Schizosaccharomyces pombe: one gene and its partner. Changing the gene in region 1 together with any one later gene gives a genetic interaction. Each region holds a gene or a part of one and is shown on either strand. Other genes may lie near its edges.

Region 1 (7,380 bases):
TTATTGTTTGTCTTGCTACGTTTAACTTATTTTTCTTTGATTTTTTTCCTGCTTGTCCCATTGTTTGTTTACCTCGCTCCCAATTTTCCTCACCGGCAATTGCTAATTAAAATCCATAAAGTTATCTAACCGATCTATTACGTTAGATATCTTAATTTGGGTTTAACTTTCTTGCTGAATAATCTTCAACGCTACGCTATTTTTCAGTGCTTAACAAAGTGAAATTTTTTATTCCTAAAAAATTCTCTTTCCTAAGTTGCAAGCATTTTCAACTGCGTTACCAGCTTTTCAGAACCTGCGCACAACCAACCACCGTAAAATTTAGTTTGGAGGGTTCAATCCTATTTTTTTCCTTCTATATTAGCAGTTTTTTTGCAGAAGTCGAGCTTTTTACTAAGCCTCGTCTATTTGCCAGCGAAACAAGCATTCCTTGGTCGGGTTTTGCTAGAAGTGAGTGTTAATAAGTCTTTTTCCTGTCTCTTGGGTAAATTTCTTATTGTTGAGCATTCTTTATCTCTTTTTCATTTTTTTTTATCGTTCTTCCTTTGTATTCTTCTTTCCTTGAAAGGAGTACTCAAGAAATCGATTACAAAACTCGAAAAAGACTTGATTAGGTAGAATAGCAAAGGAGTTAAAAATTTTTTTTTTAATTCTTCAATTTGCTTTCCTTTTCGAAATTCTTCAGCAATGTCGTTTCCTTATCAGCACACTTCACGTTCTCAAGTTCAGCCTCCTTTGGCTGCCCCCGGCTTGAGTATGTTTGCTCCTGTTTCGTCCAGCAATAGTGCAAACTCTGCTTCTTCGGTTGCTGCTTTGTTGAGTCATGCTCCTATGTATGGTCTTGGCCAGCGTCGTCCGTCCTTCTTACCTGGCGTTTCTGTGCCCGATACGCTTTCGGTAAGGTCGGGCTTCTCCATCCCTTCCTCCTCTCATCATCCTTCCGCTGTTCCTTCCCTTCTGTCGCAGCACCGTTTACAGCAACCTCAACCACGTCTCTACCCTTCTGCGCCTCTAAACTATTACTGGCCATCTTATCAGTCGGTTCCATCTGCCGCACCTCCACCACCCTCCCAGCAACGCTATATGCCTGACTCTGCCGTTGCCTATAATCCTAACCAAGATCAATTTGGCAATTCGGTGAATGTATCAGCTGCATGTAACAACGTTTCCGCCCCTTTGATTGCTAACAATTGTGCTCCTTCCTTTTATCAGTCTCGACATCCCGTAGCAGATGTGCCTGTAACCAACAATACCGCCACTACTACCTCCGAGACTGATAATACAATCCCAGGTAATCTTAACATGCCTTCGGTTGCTAACGTTCAACAACGTATTTCTCCTGTCTGCAAAACTAACATGGAGGATCAGGAAGAAACCGTTTATACCGGAGGTGTTGCTGCTAAACTGGATTACAAGATGGATCAAATGGTGGAATACTTGTCTATCATGACTTGTAAGTTGTATGCTCGTTTCCTGAATAATGCTCAAATGCATTCTCTTGCTAACTCTTTACCTGGTCTTGTGTTTTCTTTCCGTAAGGTCGTTACACAAATTTTGACGTCTACGCGTTTACCTCGTGCCTCTTGCTTGCTTGCCTTGTCATACCTTTCCGATCGTCTTGACGCCGCATCTCAAACGACTGATTTTGTAAACCAGTGGACTAAGGAGTCGTTATTCTTCCAAATATGTGCTCTTTTAACGACCGCCTTGATTTTGGCTAATAAGTTTTTGGATGACAATACGTTTACCAATCAATCCTGGTCGCAAGTTACTGGTTTCCGTACTGCCTTGTTGAACAGCTTTGAACAAGACTGGCTAGCTAGCATGTCCTGGAATCTTAGTCCCGGTCCTCGTGGTCAAAAGGCATGGGAGTGGTGGAGTGCTTCTTATTCTTTGTTTACTTCCTCAAACGCTACATACTCTGGTGAACAAAAAACTTATAGCCCTACTACGTTGAGCACCAACGCACCACCATCGCCCTCTTCTGGACGTTCTTGCTCTAATTGCAACTACTATTATCCCTATACACCCGTGGGATATTATCCAGTGTACAATCGCTATGCAATGACTTAGTGATCGTGCTTACTTTCTGCGGGTGTTGTTGCTTGACGGGGTTTGTTTTTCGTTTCCTTGCGCTTATAAACACTTTACGTGTTTTTGTTATTCTTGTAACTTTTTTCTCTTTTCATATTGTATGACGGGAACTTTTGTTTAACCCGTCATATTGTATTCTCTAATCATCTCCGTGATGAATTCGGCTCTCTTGAAATTAATTTGCCGTTTGATCTTGCTTTTCTACTTTCTTATTTTTTCAAATTTTAACAGAGAAAAAAAAAATTTCCCAAAAAAAATTGAAAAGTAGTATACCGAAAAAAAGGAACCAACTTCTTATCAGTATCTGTTTTATTTTTGTCGTTGGACTTTTATTTTGCTTTCTCGTGTGGCTTTGTTATCTATTGGAATATCTTTTGATGCAATTCTGATTTGTTAATACTGCTTGATGTATATACATCCGCTACTACTATAGGGATCGCGGATTTCCTTTTTAAAGTTCGCCTTCAAAAATTAGTAGTCTACTTATACAACTAGCTTCATCAAGAAATACATTGTGAATAGATGAAAAGGCCCATGGATGCTTTGAGTTTATTTTTCTGTTTCATTAGCAAAGATTTTACTTCGGGCATCGTTTTTGTCCTTATTTTGTTTATTTTTTCTCCTTTTGATACTTAAATGAGAAACCTTTGCTTGCTGTTTTCTAAGGATTAAGCATAAAATTTTTTATTGCGATTTTCCAACTCCCAAACTGTTTGTTATGATTACCTAGTTTTATTGCGCATTCGTCGTATGTCTACTAGTGAGATAACGGATTTATATAATCTCTTATACTTGATTCTGTTGCACTGAATCGTGCTTTTTAATTCTGAATTATGTTGTCTTTGAATGTTTTCCGTGTTTCTAAAAATTGCATAATCGTTATTCTTCTGTCTAGATTCTGCATTGTTAAGCTACCAAGAAGCGGCGAAGCGTTTGCATCTATCTAATCGTGTAGGCATCATATCAAACGTTTGGTATTATGGTTACAAAAATTGCTTTCCAAAAAAACAATAAATTCTGTTTTATCAATAATCTCTCAACTTTTATAAGTGAACGCGTCCATCCTAGTTCTGATGCCAATAAAGTGTAAAGTAAGTTTAATTTGTAATATTATTTTTTTGTCAAATTTCTGAAGACTTTAAAGTAAGCGTTCAACATCGCTAAATATATTTAGGAATCTACAAAATAATAATTTTAAATATCGACACCTTGTGTACTACCCTTACCTAGATCCTGATCAGTTGTAAACCCCACCCGCCACTTTACCACCTAACAACAACTAACTACCCAACAGTAACTCGATAAAAATGTCTATGGAATTAGATCAGTCCTTGGACGCCATAATTGCTTCAAAGCCTAAAGGAGGTATTAGAAAGCGTCGTGCGCGCTCTAACAAGCCAAAGCCAACAAAGAACGCGAAACCCGCAGTGAACACTGCCTCTGCCCTTAAATCCGTCATTTCTGAGGAATCTAAAATTATTGTTTCTAACTTACCTACTGACGTTACCGAGGCTCAAGTTAAGGAGCTTTTTGTGAAATCCATAGGACCTTGCAAACGCGTTTCCTTGGCTTACGGTCCCAACGGTCGTTCGAAAGGTATTGCAACTATCATTTTTTCTCGTCCTGGTGATGCCACTCGAGCTTATGAACAGTATGAGGGTCGTTTGGTTGATGGCACTAGAAAAATGAAGGTTGAGATAATCCTTGATCCTAGTCGTCAATTGAATTCTTTGGCTGCACGTGTAAGTCCTGCCAGCAACGCTAGCGCCACTGCTAGCAAGAATGGCGCCAAATCTTCCAAGCGGAAGACTACACGCCGCCGTAGAACTCCTAATCGTCCTAAAAAATCCGCCGAAGAGCTCGACAAGGAGATGGATGATTATTTTGGATCAAATGAGAAGGAGTAACTTTAATAATTTGAAGATTCTACTATATATACATATATTTTGAAGATGTCAAATGCTTCTTGGTATTAATAACGACCTATACAACATACTCCCTCAGTTAAATAATATTGGCAATATAATGCTGTTTCGAATGGCAGTTCTTGAAGTTGTTTTTGTGTTTTGGGTCTTTCGTAATGGATTTGGAGAAGTGAGCTGAACCAGTTCTTGTTAGTATATATGGTGTGTATTGGGTCATATTGCCATTATGCCATTATTTCAAAGAATTTCATTAAATTTTTTATTTATATCTCTTTTTTGATAGACATATATGTTTCATTGACATCGAACGAATTTGGTTACTTATTTCTTTTTCGGTGGTTAACGTTGGGTTGGAGGTTTTGACTTTTGCTAACTTTTGACATATCTGTTGATTTGTAGTATGCAAGCTTAAACGCTACCAAGAAGCTAAGCTTTGAGTCGAGTTCATTATTAGCATATCTGTTCACCTGTTATGTTTGCAACTTTATCAGCTCTTGTGCAGAAATCCTTTATGGTTGATAAGCGCTCCCTTCTTGTTTAATACAAAAGCAAAACCTATGTAGACAGTGGTTAAAAGAGGTGGATAATGGTAGCTTCGGCTACTGTTACTTTATTTAATCTAAGTTACTGTACAAGGCAGCTGTTTTGATCATCATGTTGCTAAACTATACTGGGTTGAGCTTACCGACAGGGTTTATTATTGCATGTTTGCTGAAAGTCAAAGCTTCCATACCCCAACTTGACTGTGTTTATTATGTTCATGATGGTTTTTGGTTCACGTCACACTTATTCCAAGTCTTGTTTTACTATATGTGGCACGGCTTGTTTGGATGAGGAATTTCTATTCGTAAAATCATCGCGTTCGATGGCTCTATTTCATCTTTGTCAAATTGTACATGACAGAACTGGCTTCATTCCTTCCTTTGTATGTAAACCACATTTATAGAACTTTTCCACGATTGCATTTTAAACTCGCTGATTGATGAATTACGCGCAATGCATTCTTTTGAAACTTTTAAACCCTAGTCACTTCCATTCCCGTTTTTTTTGCTTCCGACGTTTATTATTATTTGTAAATTATTGTTATGGTTGAATTGCCGACCGTATCTCGAAATTTGTTTTGGTAAACATTGCTTGGTTTTATGTTCGAACCATTGTCACATCAAACAATTTAAATTGAAGTCCCACACATATATTTTTGGCACTTATAATTTTGATTTTTTTGAAAGATCTGTACGATCCGTCGTGATTGTGTTACAAACCAAAAATCGCTTTCAGAATGCGCATTTGCGGGTTGCTAATTTTAGTGCGCGATTCTTGCCGTCCTCTGAAACCGATTGAAACATTGAAATTGTTAAAACAGTACTTTACGTTCGTACCTTAAACCAGTAGTATCTGAACGGTGGTTAACGACATTTGTATTGCAGATAAAGAGAAAGATTATTATTCACTTGCTACACATGGTTTATACGAAAGTTTTAGATTTTAATATCTGATTACAATTTCTCGTCGATATTTAGACTCCTTGTGGAACTCGTATATGTACGTAAGTGTTATTTAATAGATATCTGAATCTGTGCCGGGTGAGAATTGCAATACCTATATAAACAAGCAGCCTTTACGAATTTTTTGGCAGCTTCATTTTGGTAATGAGATTTAGTGAAACTAATATCGGTTATAAAGTGTATAGTTATATTGTTACGTCAAAGAGCACGAGACTAAGGGAGGCAGGTTAAACGTAAATGCTACCAACTTTGAACTTAGAAGTTATACGTTGTACAACCACTTTCCTGCATTTATGGAATATTATACCTCGAAGGAGGTAGCAGAATGGTTGAAAAGTATCGGATTGGAGAAGTATATCGAACAATTTTCACAAAATAACATTGAAGGACGACACCTAAATCATTTAACCTTGCCTTTACTGAAAGACCTAGGCATTGAAAACACCGCCAAAGGCAAACAATTTTTAAAACAAAGAGACTATTTACGAGAGTTTCCACGTCCATGTATACTGAGGTTTATTGCCTGTAACGGGCAAACTCGAGCAGTTCAATCACGAGGAGATTACCAGAAAACACTCGCTATTGCTTTGAAAAAGTTTAGCCTTGAAGATGCTTCAAAATTCATTGTATGCGTTTCACAGAGTAGTCGAATTAAGCTGATTACTGAAGAAGAATTTAAACAAATTTGTTTTAATTCATCTTCACCGGAACGCGACAGGTTAATTATTGTGCCAAAAGAAAAGCCTTGTCCATCGTTTGAAGACCTCCGCCGTTCTTGGGAGATTGAATTGGCTCAACCGGCAGCATTATCATCACAGTCCTCCCTTTCTCCTAAACTTTCCTCTGTTCTTCCCACGAGCACTCAGAAACGAAGTGTCCGCTCAAATAATGCGAAACCATTTGAATCCTACCAGCGACCTCCTAGCGAGCTTATTAATTCTAGAATTTCCGATTTTTTCCCCGATCATCAACCAAAGCTACTGGAAAAAACAATATCAAACTCTCTTCGTAGAAACCTTAGCATACGTACGTCTCAAGGGCACAATCTTGGTAATTTTGGTCAAGAAATTTTGCCAAGAAGCTCTCGGCGGGCTCGCCCTTCCGAATTGGTTTGTCCTCTTTCCTCTCTGAGGATTTCTGTTGCTGAAGATGTTAACCGACTTCCTAGGATTGATAGGGGATTTGATCCTCCACTTACTGTATCTTCTACTCAGCGTATTTCTAGACCACCATCGCTTCAAAAATCCATAACCATGGTTGGTGTGGAACCTTTATACCAGTCCAACGGAAATGAAAAATCGTCGAAGTATAATGTTTTTTCAGAAAGCGCGCATGGCAACCATCAAGTACTTTCCTTTTCACCTGGTTCATCCCCATCATTTATTGAGCAACCATCCCCAATTTCTCCAACTTCCACTACAAGTGAGGACACAAATACACTTGAAGAGGACACTGATGATCAGTCTATCAAATGGATACGTGGTGCGTTAATAGGTTCAGGATCGTTTGGACAAGTTTATCTCGGTATGAATGCATCTAGTGGTGAGTTGATGGCTGTTAAGCAAGTGATCTTAGATTCTGTTTCTGAATCAAAAGACCGCCATGCCAAACTTTTAGATGCATTAGCGGGTGAAATTGCTCTTCTACAGGAGTTGTCTCATGAGCATATTGTCCAATATCTCGGTTCTAACTTAAATTCGGACCACTTGAACATTTTTTTGGAATATGTTCCTGGGGGGTCGGTTGCCGGATTGCTTACAATGTATGGAAGCTTTGAGGAAACGCTAGTCAAGAACTTTATTAAGCAAACCCTTAAAGGCTTAGAATACCTTCATTCACGCGGCATTGTACACCGT
Region 2 (6,406 bases), 660 kb from region 1:
TTCGATAAAATGGGATTCCCTAAATAAAATAAATCTAAGAAGCAGAAGAATTGTTGTGAACATAAAAATATTTTATTTAAACATTGGAGGGATAAAGCATGACACGGAGAGAGGCACCAAAGGTCTTGGGAGGAAGATTATGGGTGAAACGAGCACGAACAACACCAGAATTTCCATGAGGACGACTAACAGTTCTAAAACGTAATTAGTAAAGGTTTTGAATGTATTCGTTTAGCCAACAAAAAACGACCGTGAAAATATAGCATTAACGTTTCTTCATATTCTCCAAAGAAACGCAAGAATTTAATTACAAAAATAAACTTACCCCCAAATGACACGAATCTTGGATCCACGAACGGGCTTGTTGCTTTTGTAGACGAAGCAAATACGCTTGCCTAGGTAAAATTGGGCTTCTTCCTTAGAATCACATCCCTCAATCTTTACCAAAGAAGTTCCTGGGTGGATAACATGTTTGCTTCTTTGAAAAGAGAGATGTTTAGCTTTAACGTACAATCTGTGTCCCTGAGCAGGCATTTTGACTTGGTAAAGGCGGAACTCTTAGTGTGGTGATCCTTACCGTTTGCTTAAGCTGTGACTGCCCTTCTTGTGCTTGCAAAACCTAAGCTTGTGTTGGTAGTAAACACTTTCATAAATCTAGCATAGTGTAACGTACTTCATAATCTTATTGATTGCGATCATATAGCTTAATTCATTATATAATCTTAAAAAGATACTCTTCAATTTTTTAAAATTATCTCTCACTTACCAATACAGTATAGTGTAAAGTTTTTCTAATGATCAATATAAAGTAACGGGGACTAACTTGATAATATTCGATTTTGTTTACATATTATTGTTTAGTATTATATCTTGTACCTGAATAGTCTACTACTGAATATAGGAATATCGGCTGATTAAACCTATTCATTGTATCTCTAATAGTACAACAATTTGGTTTTATCTGAACTAAATAAAATTTATTTAGCGAATGAAGAACAAATTATGAATGGCAGTAATGGACGGACGCAATGTAGCCGTCGTAAGGTGAGCCAATGTCATTGAAATTCATCAAACCTAATGTCTCAGTACAAGAAGCAAAGAGTTTTCAAATTACTTAACCTAAAAAATGAAATTCTATAGACTTAAATCTGTTTGCTAAGTGGACAAGATCGGGTTTTGCGTAAGTAAACAAACTTCATTTCGAAGATGAGTTGGAGGAATGTTCATTGAACTTTTTCAATTGAATTATAAAATTATTATATAACTTTCAAAATCGATTTGTAATAAACTTGAGTGAAAACAAAACTAAGCTAAAAATTACCTAGTTTAAGGTGTGTCGCTACAAATTCTCGTTAAATCCATAAGAAGCTTTGTGGAACCACCGTAATTGCTAAAACTCGCCAAATGGACAACCTAGATGAAGATGACTTAGCATTCTTCTCAAAGCCTATTAAAAAGCCTCCATTAAACTATGCCAAGCAATTAATAGCCTCTTCCTCAGATTCTGGTAAGTTTTAATTCCGATTGCAAAGTGTCAGCTTGCTTACAACATTCTAGAAGAGGAAAGTGAACTTGATACCAATAAACAAGCATTAGAACACATAAATGCACAGAAAAATATAACTCATAATGAAAACAAAAGTGCCGAACCTTTATCTCGTCAATCCACTATTTTAGATGCTGATGAAGGCAACCAAGACGTTTCAGACACTACTCCTAATGCGTGTTTGAATGAAGGTAGGCACTCACCCAAAAGTGCTATCTCCTGTGTAACACAACCGGTTTCACCAGTTTATAATACTAGGGCGGCCGCTAACTTGCGAAACAACAGCATTAATAGTGAGGCTGCGCTTTCTACGACTTCATCACTGCTGGACGATGACTTTGCTCGTAGGTTAGAGGAAATTGATCGGCAAGTTCAGGAGTTTGAAAAATCATCAAGTGATATGGATGTACAAATTCACACGCATAAGAGAGAAATTGAAGAAGACGATGACAATACTTCGGCTGATGTGCCCCTTTTAAAGCATTCAAAAAGTGACCACTCAACGCTGTATCACTCCAAATCGGAATTCTCAACAAATGAACCAGTTATTTCCGTCGTTCTCCAGTTAGCCGTAATTGGACAGAGAATTCCAAACAGCAATATCTCTCTTCCCCGGGACTGGGAGGCACCGTTATTTTTCAAAGTTAAGTCGAACCAACAGTTTCGTCGTGTCAGAATAGCGTACTCTGAAAGAAAAAAAGTAGATAACGTTGTTCTTGTATTTCAAAATCAAAGATTATGGGATTATGGAACCCCAAAGGGCGCTGGTATGCTTAAAGTCGATACCCGTTTGGTTGTGCATGCCTACTGTCACTCGGATTTTATATCACTCAAAAGAATAAAAGAATTGGAAGTGGAAAAGTTATCCTCGGTAACTGAAGATTCAACTGCTCAAACGTGTAAACTTATAACGTTGCTTTTGCGTTCGAGTAAGAGTGAGGATCTTCGTCTCTCAATACCCGTCGATTTCACTGTTAAAGATTTGATTAAGAGATATTGTACTGAAGTAAAGATTAGTTTTCATGAACGCATTAGATTAGAATTTGAAGGTGAATGGTTAGATCCCAACGATCAAGTGCAAAGCACGGAACTTGAAGATGAAGATCAAGTTAGTGTTGTTTTGGATTAAAAGGATATTTGGCTCTTACTTTTACCATTGTTCTTTCTTATATTTAATTACCGCCATAATACTTTTATAGAATGATCACGAACGACTATGTATAAATCTAACTTATTCATTTCATCAATATGTACCATTATTAAATAAAAGTTTCCATTTCCCCAGTTTGTAATTTTTTAACCATATCTATCTATACACGTCACTAGAAGTTCATGAAAATGCTTCGGCTGGTATAACATTTCGCGACTTTAATTCCAAAAAAGATGCTAGAGCGCTGTTGTAATCCCAATTATTTTGCTCACAACACATGTGAGCATAGTAATCATTTAAACCTGTCTCCGCCTTAATTTTTAATACAATTTGTTGTCTAGTGTCTAACATTGCTTGTTCCGGTCTTGGCTGTACAATATCACTAGGCTTTGAAGCAGACGCAGACATGGCATTATTGCTTGTTCGTACACTGCTTTGACCAGGTAGCCACCCGAGCGATCCAGCAAATGAACGAATGACTAATAAATCATTTATAATCAATATGCCTGTGGAACCTCCCGGCAAAATCAGCAAAGTTCGATCAAAACTTCGTAGAAGTCGTTTGTTTTGTGGTTCCTCAAATTGCCCATGGACAACAATTTTGATGGCTGCACCAACCGAAGGCAGAACCAGGTTCCAACCATCAAAAACCCATTGCGAACGGTCTGATAAATCGTGAGCCGTAGCAGGTAAGGATTTTACAGCGTTGCTTATTTCTTCGTGCCCGTTAAATAAACGAGATTTCGACTCCTTCTGTGATTGTGAGTAAAGTAGATTTCTGCTTTTCATTTTGTAAGCTCCCCATTTTTTAGTGTCTGTTTTCTGAGAAAAGTTCGTTCTAACGTTTGAAGCGTTCAGAGAGATTGAGAAGGTAGCATTTGGACTGTATAATTGATTGACAAGTGCACTTCTATTCTCATCCCAACCTTTAAAGAACGCAGCCAAAAAAGAATTGACTATTTGTTCGGTTTCAACCTTATCAAAGAAAGATTGATAAACCGGAAAAGGGACGGTAGATTGAGAGGCGATAATCTCTGAATTTATGCTGTTACCATCTAAAAGACGAAGCTTCGGAAAACGCGAAACCATTTCCCGTTGATAATCCATAGCACGATTAGCAAAGGTTGTGACAATCGGGTTTCCGACAAGAACAAGCTCTTGGAGTTCGGGAAGCTTTGTTTTGGGGGACCATGGATCCAAGTCAGATAAAGAAGTAATCCGGTTATTAGCAAGACTAAGGTTTAAAAGTTTAGGCCATGTTTGTGCTAAAGTGGTTACGGCAGTCACCGATTGTAAGTTGTTATCCGACAAACTAACTGATATAACGTCTGGAAAGTTTAAAGAAGCAACCTTCATTAACGCTGGAAACATCTTACTCTTAGTAGAAGCCTCTGCTAAAATCCCCATTTGCTTTAAAAGAGGATCTTGTTGCAAATTTCCGAGGTCCAAGAATTTAGTAGCAGGTTGATAACGGGTTTGCAAAAACTGGCGTAACTTTTCAATGGTCTCATTTGTGGATTGTGGTAACGTTTTTGAAACATTTCTCTGGGCTTGTGTTGCTAATGCAGATAATGAAGGAGCTGAAACAGAACGAAATGATCGTTTTGTCTTTGCTTTTCTATAATCTTGAGTAACGTTAGAAGCTCCATCGACCCTTCGTATAGCCAAATGATCACCAGCAAAAGCCGCACCATTTAACCCGTTCAAACGACTAAAGTCTTGGCTTTTAACTACGGCAGTGACCGAAGCCGGAGAATATGAAATGTTCATTAGACGAACCTTGACTTTTCTCCAAACAAAGCTTATTAAGTCGTCCTCAGAACCCTTGGAATGACCAGTAATAACTACGGATATCGGGGGTTCACGCGTGGCACGAGGTTTGCCTGGTGTACGGCGTTTCTCCAATGGTGTATCAATTACCATTTCATTCTCTTTAACAGCATTACGACGCTCCCGCTTTCTACGCAACATTTTGCAATTATGTTGAGTAGTAAGTGTGAAGAGAAAGAGAGTAAGTGGAATTTAATTCAACATTTTTAACTTCAATAGTAATAGGACAAGTATAAGGAGTAGAGATGTGTACGCGCAAAACTGCGTTAAACAGTTAGACTATTTGTGATATAACGAGAAACTGTTAAATGCGTTATTCGTCTTTTGCTATGCTTGTATCGATGGAATTTGTGGAAATACATTTTTTGTTTTAGTTTATTTTATTGAAATTCAAAAAAATTTATATGAGGCTAATATAAAATCGTTTACTGTTTTTTTGTAAAATCACTATTGATATAACTCAATCGACCACCTAAAATTCGACCTCCATTAACATGAAAATTCAGGAGTAAATTTTGAAGTAAAGAACAGTTTAGTCAGTAAGACTTCCGAACACTAATTCCTTAAGCAATATATCAATATATGTGTCCCGCTAATTCTTGTTTTATTGCATGTTTAAAGAGATTGAGCACTAAGCAACGTAAGTTTTTGATAAATCTGGGTTTCATGAGCCAAAAAAAATAAACATTTTTTGGTTTTTTTTATTTTTTTTTTGGCTTGGATATCTATTTTTTGTTTAAATCGATTATCTACTAAATTTATGTATTCATTTTAATGGAGAAGCAAAATTACTATTTACAATTTTTTATTATTAACTAACAATATGATCGCCTGCACCTTTATCAATTCATATCATAAAAATATGTACTTACTTGTGAAAAAATGCCTGCTTATTTTTTTTATTTTCTATCCAGTATAATGCTCAATTCTGCTCAGTTATTGATGTAGACAATATATATAATATATACGTATAGAATAATTAATTGTTGTATAACAATGAAGGGTCAACTTAAAAAATGAAAGGACTAAATTTCTACAGAAATCGATTAAAAAAGTGTTATTTTATTTTCATTTATTTATTTTGAACAGCACTTGTTTTATACTTTCCTTGACATTATCGTAACCTCAATAGGATAATAACCTGAAAATGCAGCAAACAAATTACTTAAAAGGGTAGGGTTTAAAAAACAGTCACAAAGGTCTATAAACGTGAGTTTGTTAAGTTGAAGTTTCCCTATCGTGCGGTTATATACCGACGCCCACAATTCGTGTTGCTCACTTTTCTTTTTCTTTTTCCATGGAATGGTTTGAGCGTCATACGTGGGCCAGAGCCATATTGGACATCTTAGTGCCCTTACAGGAATAGTCATATTGATACTTTTTCTGTGGGTCGGTAGTTCAGATAGCTTTTTGCTTTGTAGTATAAGTTTTAAATTTTTTGTATGACTCATTAATGTTTTTTAATTCATTTTAATATTATTCATGTTATGTGTTGGTTGTATTTGTCTGTCTTGTGTAAATTTTGGTTGTATTCGTGGGTTTTAAAAACCTGCTGTTTACTTAATTTTGAATTATCGAAATTTCTTCCATTTTTTAGTGTTATAGGGACAGCTTGTTTGTCGGACAGGATACTCAATGGGTTTAACAAGCTACGTTCATTTCTATTTTGTCACTATTATGGCTGTAATGTGAAATATCATAGTTGATTGTGCCGTGGATAAAAGAAAAAATCCTAGTGTTCTTTGCTCTGTCTTCTCCACGGGTATTAACAATGCACATGCTGTATGTCGTTTAACGTTTAGATGCATTTCATATTTGTTCACCTTATCGTTATCTCTGTTGTATCTATTAAGTTCCCACACTGGGGCACTAAAATGGTG

What was found. A genetic interaction does not mean that the proteins touch.
Region 2: mutations in mlo3 (region 1) and mex67 are lethal when combined (synthetic lethality), as found in Schizosaccharomyces pombe (one study listed by BioGRID).

What each region holds. Positions count from the first base shown.
Region 1 is NC_003423.3:1,740,734-1,748,113, reverse strand, and holds mlo3 (RNA-binding protein Mlo3), read left to right. Parts: upstream 1-3,365; 5' UTR 3,366-3,401; coding exon 3,402-4,001; 3' UTR 4,002-4,146; downstream 4,147-7,380. Other genes in the region: cyclin Clg1, read left to right, coding at 688-2,073; MAP kinase kinase kinase Byr2, read left to right, coding at 5,818-7,380. UniProt on the Schizosaccharomyces pombe protein: Has a role in the mRNA export process. Interferes with mitotic chromosome segregation when overexpressed.
Region 2 is NC_003423.3:2,405,428-2,411,833, forward strand, and holds mex67 (nucleoporin Mex67), read right to left. Parts: upstream 4,695-6,406; 5' UTR 4,668-4,694; coding exon 2,877-4,667; 3' UTR 2,725-2,876; downstream 1-2,724. Other genes in the region: rpl35A02 (60S ribosomal protein eL33), read right to left, coding at 77-194, 326-534; DNA repair protein, SUMO-related Rad60, read left to right, coding at 1,405-1,507, 1,558-2,675; SPOM_SPBC1921.04C (uncharacterized protein), read right to left, coding at 5,624-5,977. UniProt on the Schizosaccharomyces pombe protein: Involved in the export of mRNA from the nucleus to the cytoplasm.